Rattus norvegicus: one gene and its partner. The protein of the gene in region 2 interacts with the protein of the main gene of each other region in a pairwise test. Links are inferred from orthologs where the notes say so. Each region holds a gene or a part of one and is shown on either strand. Other genes may lie near its edges.

The links.
Region 1: the proteins of Cdr2 (region 2) and Kansl1 interact in binary tests that used the Homo sapiens proteins (3 or more experiments, as listed by UniProt). The two-hybrid records come from large-scale screens. The link is inferred for Rattus norvegicus from reciprocal best matches to the Homo sapiens genes CDR2 and KANSL1.

The regions. Positions count from the first base shown.
Region 1 is NC_086028.1:89,866,325-89,870,072, forward strand, and holds the start of Kansl1 (KAT8 regulatory NSL complex subunit 1), read right to left. Parts: upstream 2,297-3,748; 5' UTR 2,271-2,296; intron 1,096-2,270; exon of another isoform or gene 586-1,095; 5' UTR 471-585; intron 1-470. UniProt on the Homo sapiens protein: Non-catalytic component of the NSL histone acetyltransferase complex, a multiprotein complex that mediates histone H4 acetylation at 'Lys-5'- and 'Lys-8' (H4K5ac and H4K8ac) at transcription start sites and promotes transcription initiation.
Region 2 is NC_086019.1:184,956,261-184,960,008, forward strand, and holds the start of Cdr2 (cerebellar degeneration-related protein 2), read right to left. Parts: upstream 2,777-3,748; 5' UTR 2,699-2,776; coding exon 2,623-2,698; intron 1-2,622. Other genes in the region: Mfsd13b (transmembrane protein 180), read left to right, coding at 3,392-3,545.

The DNA.
Region 1 (3,748 bases), on a different chromosome or scaffold from region 2:
TATGACTCTGAAGTACCAGTTTGAAAATGGACCTCAAGGTCTGAATTGGCAACACATCTACCAGGTGGAACATAATTTCACAAGATGTAAGCTATAATAAGTAAAAACTGGAACCCATCCTTATAGAGTTAATTTAAGAACTTCACTAATGTCTGAACAGCAGCAATCAAGAACAGCAATAACAAATCCTAAGAACCTAATGGTTCTAAGGATGGGTATCCTGAAGAGCCACAGGTTCAAGAACATTCTAGGTAGATCTAGACCTAGTAGCAAACACCTATAATCCTAGCATTTGGAACGTAGAGGCAGCAAATACATGAAGTTAAGGCCATGCTCAGCAAACTACAAAGTTCCAGAGCAGCCTGGACTCTGAAACCCTGACTCAAAACACACGGGAACAAGTATTCTTGATTCTAAAATACATATATGAAATAACAAAATAAAAATAACGAAAAGCAAATATATCTTACCTTAAGAGGCATCCAAATAGCATACATAGTGTCAGGAATAGTTCAGACAACTCAGAAATAAGCAGGAAGAGACTAAGTAATTCCCCAGTTACCACGGATAAGGAATTAAGGAGATCTGAAAAGGAAGAATTTTTTTCACTTAGATGGAAAAAATAGCATATGTAAATAGCTTAATCTATCTGGGAAAGGCATTCAATACTAGTTGCTTAAAAAGTGTACAAGTGCTGGGCGTGGTGCACTTTAGTCCTAGCACTCAGAGGAGACTGAAGCAGGCTGTTATCTACCAGTTCAACACCAGCCTGGTAGACACAGTGAGTTCTGGGCCAGGTGAGAGCTACTTATTGAGATGGTCTCAAAACCCCCCAAGAAGGAAAAAGATACAATATAAAATTCCCTTTGTAAAGGGCATATGTTTATCTCTGTGTGTGTGTGTAGAAATATATTTTATATCAAAGAACAACGTAAATCTTAAGTAACTGAAAATTACTTATCAAAGGTTCAGAAAACTAAAATCCTAAAGGAAAAGTTATTACTACCAGAGTATTTCATAAACACTACTGAAAATAATTTATTAACTATCTAAAAAGATGTACAACTATTTTATTTGGTAAACAAACAAAAAAAAAAAAACTTCTGACAATTCCAGTTTTTAACTTTTCTTAAAATTGTTTCAGAGCTGAAACTACATTAAAAAAGTAAGTAGCATCTATTCCTCACCGAAGTACAAGCAAAAAAGAAAAGACCATTCTTTTCCAGAGATTTTTAAAAGCAGACCAGAGGAATTAATTTTGAAGATGGAGGGTGTTAAGTTTGCAGGGACTCAGAAGAATGGACTAAATGACTCCTTCTAGGAGCCTATGTCCTAGGCCTGAATGAAAATTCCAGCTTAACCAGTTACTGCTTCACTTAAAATGGAGGCTTGCCCGAGTAGGAACACAAAAATAACACACTCACCTCTTTAAAAATAATTTCTTAAAATCAGAGTCGATGTCCCCGTTTTAAAAATAAAGCTCTGGAGTGGGTTTGCTGTCTCCACGTTTGTCACTTCGGTTAGGGACACTTGGCATCACTTTGCCTAGCGCTCATTGGATTTTGGGGGGTGGGGACGGGAGTTTGACTCTTGACCCGACTCTCAGGCGAGCCTGGGCACCCCCACACACTACCCCGCGACGCGACCCCAGCTCTACAGGACCCCAGCTCTACAGGACCGCGGGGCCGAGATCCCAGCGAGCTCGAGTCCGCGCCCCTCCCCCGCCTCGGACCCTCGTCCGGGAGCCTCTCCCATCCCCCGCGGCCCACGACTCCTCCGGCCCGGTCCCCATTGTTAGGAGGGGGGCGGCCGTGGCTGGGGCTCGCGGCCCGGGGCCCGTGGCTGTTGACCGACTCGCCTCAGGAGGGGGCGGCCCGCGGGATGCCGCTTCCCGTCCTGCCACGGTCCGTCCCACCTCGCTCGGCCTGGCGCCCCCGGCTGTGCTCGGTGCCCCCCTCCCGGGCCCTGTGGCCACTCGTCGCCCGGCACGCCGCGGTCCACGGCCGGAGGCCGAGGCCTTGAGGGTGGGCGCCGGCCGAGGGTCCCCGCGCCCCACACACGCGTCCCCGCGTCCTCAGACCGGCCGCCTTCAGGGCCCTCCGCGGCGCCGGCTCCCGCGACCCCTCAACCTCCCGCCGCCCCGCGACGGCGCCCCCCACGGCGTCCTCCGGCCCAGACACGCCACCCTGCACCACCATCACCCCGACCCGCCGCGCCCCCACCCCCCGGGGCAGCAGTGCCAACGGCAGCTCCCCCGGCCCCAGACCTACCTGCACGGCTCAACCAAGCCTAGAGTGGGGGGCGGGCAAGCTTCCGCCCTCCTCTGTCTCCCATTGGCCCGCCGAGGGCAATTCGCGAGCACCATTGGCTAAGAGTGGACGTCCGTCAGAGCTATGGGGCGGGATGGGGAGGGGGGGAGAGATGCTGGTGCCTTGGCGTCTCTGTCTCTGTATCTCTCTGTCTCTGTCTCGGCCCTAGGAAAGGAGAGGCTTGAGCTGGACGGAGCTGGAGGGCGGCCTGGTGGGAGAAATAAGAATAGGAATCCCTACAGTGCTTCACAGCAGTCCACCACTCAACCCCTGGCCTCAGTCCCTCAGGTCCCCTTCTCTGTCACCCCCAACCCCTGCCCCTCACCTCACCCTTCCAGGTTCTTCATCCAGGAAGCGATGTGATGAGAACCCGGCCCGGAAGGCCATAGGGAGAGATTTTGTATATGTACATAAAATATACACATATATAAATGTTTGTTTTTAAAGTCAACCAGATTTGAGGTCCTGAGGGCCTGGAAAGGCCATACATCTCACAGACCAGGAAGGAATTGAGAGAAAGCTGAGTCAAAAATCACTCTCAGAGGTGTTAACAGTGGTTGCCTCCTGGATGACATGGAGTTCTCAGCAGACCAAGGAAGAGGAATACTTAATCTCTCAGGCACATCCTTTGTAGATACTGATTTTTGTGCCATCCACAAACATTACAGCTAAAATAATATTAATTATCATAGCATGATCCATATGCTTGTGATTATAGCACAAGAAACTCATGCAGAAAATTATTAAGTGCAAAAGCCAGCCTGGGCTACAAAGAGACTATTTCAAAAAAAAAAAAAAAAGAAAGAAAAGAAAAAATATTTTGAATCCAAATATTTTGAAACAAAATGGTTATCTAAGAAAACCAGGACAGCATTCACATGTACTGGGGAGTCTTACCTTTTAGTTTGTTTTAAATACCAGTAATAAGTGTGTTCTGAGGAATTCCAAAACACTGGGGAGACTAAACAATCCACAAATGAGGAGTCAACATACTGAACGATCAACTTTCTCAAATCGGAAAACAAAACAAAACAAAACAAAAAACCAGCTAAAATAATGGCAAAACAGCACGAAGGCAGAGGAGCAAGAATACTAAAACTATGAGAGATCCTTAGGTCTTGAGGCTACACTTAGAGAACTGTTTTTAGGCCATAGTAGACATGTGACAGTAAGAACTAAAAAGAAAATACCCATAAGCCAGAAATCTTAACTTTTTCAGTCTTATTGACACATAAGGATTCTCCCAGAATTTTTTTCATCGTATCAAATGCATTTAGGAAACCTGAGGACACAGACCAGATTCACTGCAGAGGATCATCTGGGCTACAGAGAAGCCCCAAGAACGCTGCTTGTACTAAAATATAGTTTGTTCTACAAGATGTGTATTTTTATGTGTCTGAGTGTTCTGCCTGCATGTACGTAAAGCCCACGGTGTGCAG
Region 2 (3,748 bases):
ATACACTCTGGCTGGTTGCGTGTCAATATGACACACAGTATAGTACTATCATCAGAGAGAGAGAGACAAAATTGAGAAATAACTCCACAAGATTGGATTGTACATAAGCCTGTAGGGTTTTTTCCTTAATTAGTGACTGGTGTGGGAGGGCCCAGCCTATTGTAAATATTTTTGTAAAGCATTTTAGGCCATGTATCCAATATGAATCTACTACATAAGTTAATAAAGGTCATGCAGAACACATGATAAACGACTAGAGTTCCTTAATCTGCACAGAGAAAGAGCTGTTCCCAAACTACTTAGCAGCAAATGCCAAGGGTGTACATTTACTAGCATCTCCAGATGTCTCTGGTGAGTAGATTCATGAACAGCACACAGAGTGAGAGCCCTTCCTCTCTAATAGCTGGCTACAGCAAGTGGTGTCACTGCCTACATTAATACCTAGGTTAGAAAAAACAGTATGCTCTTGAGAAACAATTGTAAACTCTGTTCAAAGGTAGATCTAAGCTGGCTCTGTGGTACACTGCTTACCTACCATGCATTGAGGCCCTGGCCTCAATCCCAGCACACCATATACGCAAAACTGTTTAACATATAAGGCAGCAAAATTGGGGGAACAGATGCTCAAATGAGCAGCCGTCATTCTTTCAGGGGCATATTAATGAGCTAACAGGATTTCATATCTTCCATTTGTACTTTATATGTTTATGATACGGAAGCCATGGCAAAGTCCACTGTGATAACAGATGTAAAAACCTTTGGAAAGTACACAAGAAACCCCAAATGCAAATCAGTAGTAAATTAGCCCAGAGGTTAGGGTTTGTTCAGACTTGTGACACCTTCATCTAGATCAGAAGTTAAGAATTCCACAAACAGCCCCAAACATATTTTGTTTACCACTCAGTAGACTGAGATACTACAACTGTCTGTTCCTGATAACCTCCTGTGGAGGGGGATTTGGCTGATGGGTGGACCAGGGCACTGGAGAGCTGTTGTGTGACAGCTTCAGTTCAGGCCAACAAATACTAAATTAAGTTTCTATTATGATGTGTTATATATGATGTTAGATATGGGAGACCGGTCTGTTCTTGAAGGTTTTGCATTCTTCTTTAATATGGTAAAGAAGAATCTCTTGCTTGGGTTATAGGAACTGCTTTCATATAATAAAATGTTGCAATCTCACCGTGGTTGCTTCAGTCCTCAAGTATCAAAGCAGGTCATCAATCCTTACGGGACCAGTGTGAAGTAGGCTAAATGTCTAACAAACTTGTCTTCTGGACACAGAGAAATGTGACAGCGAACTGGCACTGTAGCTGCTAGGCAGCTTCAATTATAGTAGTACAGGATCTGTTTGGGCTTAGGTCATTTGCACATTAAGAAATCAAGACAGACAGAAACTTTAAAAAAAAAAAAGCAAATTACCACCTCTCCAAAAAGCTACCTGTTTTCCTTTTCTACTTTCTAAGTACGGGTCATTCAAGCTCAAAACTACCCCCGTCCCCCACCGCCCCTGTCAGATTCACTGGTGTTTAACAGCCAACTCAAAAAGATATTAATTTTCACGAAAAGTTTGGAGTGGGAATAATTACACAGAATAGCACAAGCAGGATGCTTGAAAGGATTCCCGAGGACCCCTCTGTATGGTGGTTAAGAATGTCTACTCTGGAGTCTACAGTGAATACCTAGTCTCCCCGACAATATCCACTTCAGCCTGAGGTAACTATTGCAGCACCTGGTGCTATTGGGGGAATTAAAGGAGTCTAGCAGGGTGTTAAGGGTTTATCGGTGTCCTCAAACACAAAATCCTACTATGAATGTGGAAGAAAATGGGCCACTGGATTCAGACTGGGGACACTCTTGACATTGTCTCTGGAGATGTCCAAGGAAGGATTATTTTTCATTGAAAATCCGAATGCAAAGATAAGGACATGATAGAGCTGCCCTCAAATAATTTCATCTAGCCTCTGATGAATGATGGCTAAGTAATAAATTAAAACACACACACAGAGTTTAACACTGGGTAGGTTATAAATTGGGATGCTAAGATCTGAAGTGTCTACAGACTCCTCATTTCAAGTGTGTGTGGCATCAAAAATACTCGCTCCCATATTCGGCTTTGGGGAATCCACTTAAATCTTTTAGCTTCTGCTTTCTGGAAAACGGGATAACAAAAAATTATTCCCACAGAGTGATGGCGCGGGTACCGCACAGCAGTACTGCCCCCCCACCACCTGCAGCGGCTTGCAGAGTCTGCGGACCATGAAAGGCGAAGTGGGGCGGGCAGGGCAGCACGACCCGGAGCCAGGTCAGCAGCTCACTTCTAGAGCAAGTCAAGCTGGTTCACCCCTGCCCACCTCAGAAGTCCACTAAGGGGATGGATCCGCTCATCCTCCGCAAGCGCTTTCTTAAAGCGCCAAGCATCAGCCAGGGTGGCGCATCCGCAGGGCCGTGGGCCGCGCGCGCTTATTCTCTGAGGTCGGGATGGGCGGATCCGTTGCCAGGTGAGCGCGAGAAGCCCCTGGCCGCGCATCCCAAACCTCCAGCCTAAGGAACTTTCTAGCACTTTCCACACCTGCCACCCCCGGATTCCCACCCCCAACCTCCCAGCGACCTCGCCCTCACCTTGCTGGAGGTCCCGGTGGTCATACCAGGGCTCATCCTCTATCTCGAACTCCTCCACAAGGTTATCTGCCAGCATGTCGCCGGGGACGTCCGGGGGCAGCGGGCTTTGCCGCCGCCCTGCCGTTTCGGCCGCTGCCCCGGGCTCTCCCCCGACCCCGCCACCCTCAGCCAGAGCCACCCTCGGGCGGGACGCGCCGGTCCCGCTGCAGCTCCCGCCGCCGTCCCGCGCCGCCCAACGGCCCGCGCCCTAGCGAGCGCGCCCCGGGTGGCGCCGGGAGCCGGCTCCTCAAGCCCGCTGCCCGGCCCAACGTGGCACTTTGGCAGAACCCTCCCAAGCCGGGGAGACGATTCAAACCCGGGAGGCGCCTTGACCAATCACGAATGAGCCGCTTGTAGAGTGACAGCGACCTCAGCCAATAGAATATCAAAAAAGGTCGCGGGTCCGCGGACCATCAGCCAATAAAGGCTTAGGAAGGAACAAAGGAGGCGGGGAGGCGAAGAGGGTGCGGTCGGCAGCTCCTCCTCTTTTGTCTGCGTCGCGTCTCCTCAGTTGAGTGCACTCCAGTTCCGGAGTGTGGAGGAGGTTTCAAGCCGATCCAGTGTGCCGAGGACTACGGATTCTGGGCACCGGGCATCCTCTTCCCACACGAGGGTTTCAGATGCGGGTCAACTCTTCTCCGCCCTGTCCTCGGTGGTGCGCGGAGGGAGACTCAGGGTCCGTTGCGAGGTTAAAGGCGAGAGAACGCTACTGAGAGAAAGCTGCTCCTCAATGTCGGAGCCCTTGGCCTCCCAGGAGCATGGACGTGAACTCCTAAAGGGCAATCACCAGCCCCACCTCATACTTGGAGTCTGGGGCTGGCCAGTCAAAGCCGCCTCCCCTGAGAAAAGTTACCACAGTTTTAAAAGCATAGAATTTCTTAAAGGTTCGTAGAGTGTAAGATAAACACCTAGGAGCAGGCCTTGTACTTGGTGGCCAGCTTGCCAGAGTCAGCTTGTTGACGCAGTCTTCACCACTGTTTCTTGGGTTAGACTTTTAGCATATTTGGGTACCTCACATTGGGAAACTCTCAGACGGAGAAAGGTCGACGCAGATGTTTGGGATGTTAGAATTGATAACAGTTATGGA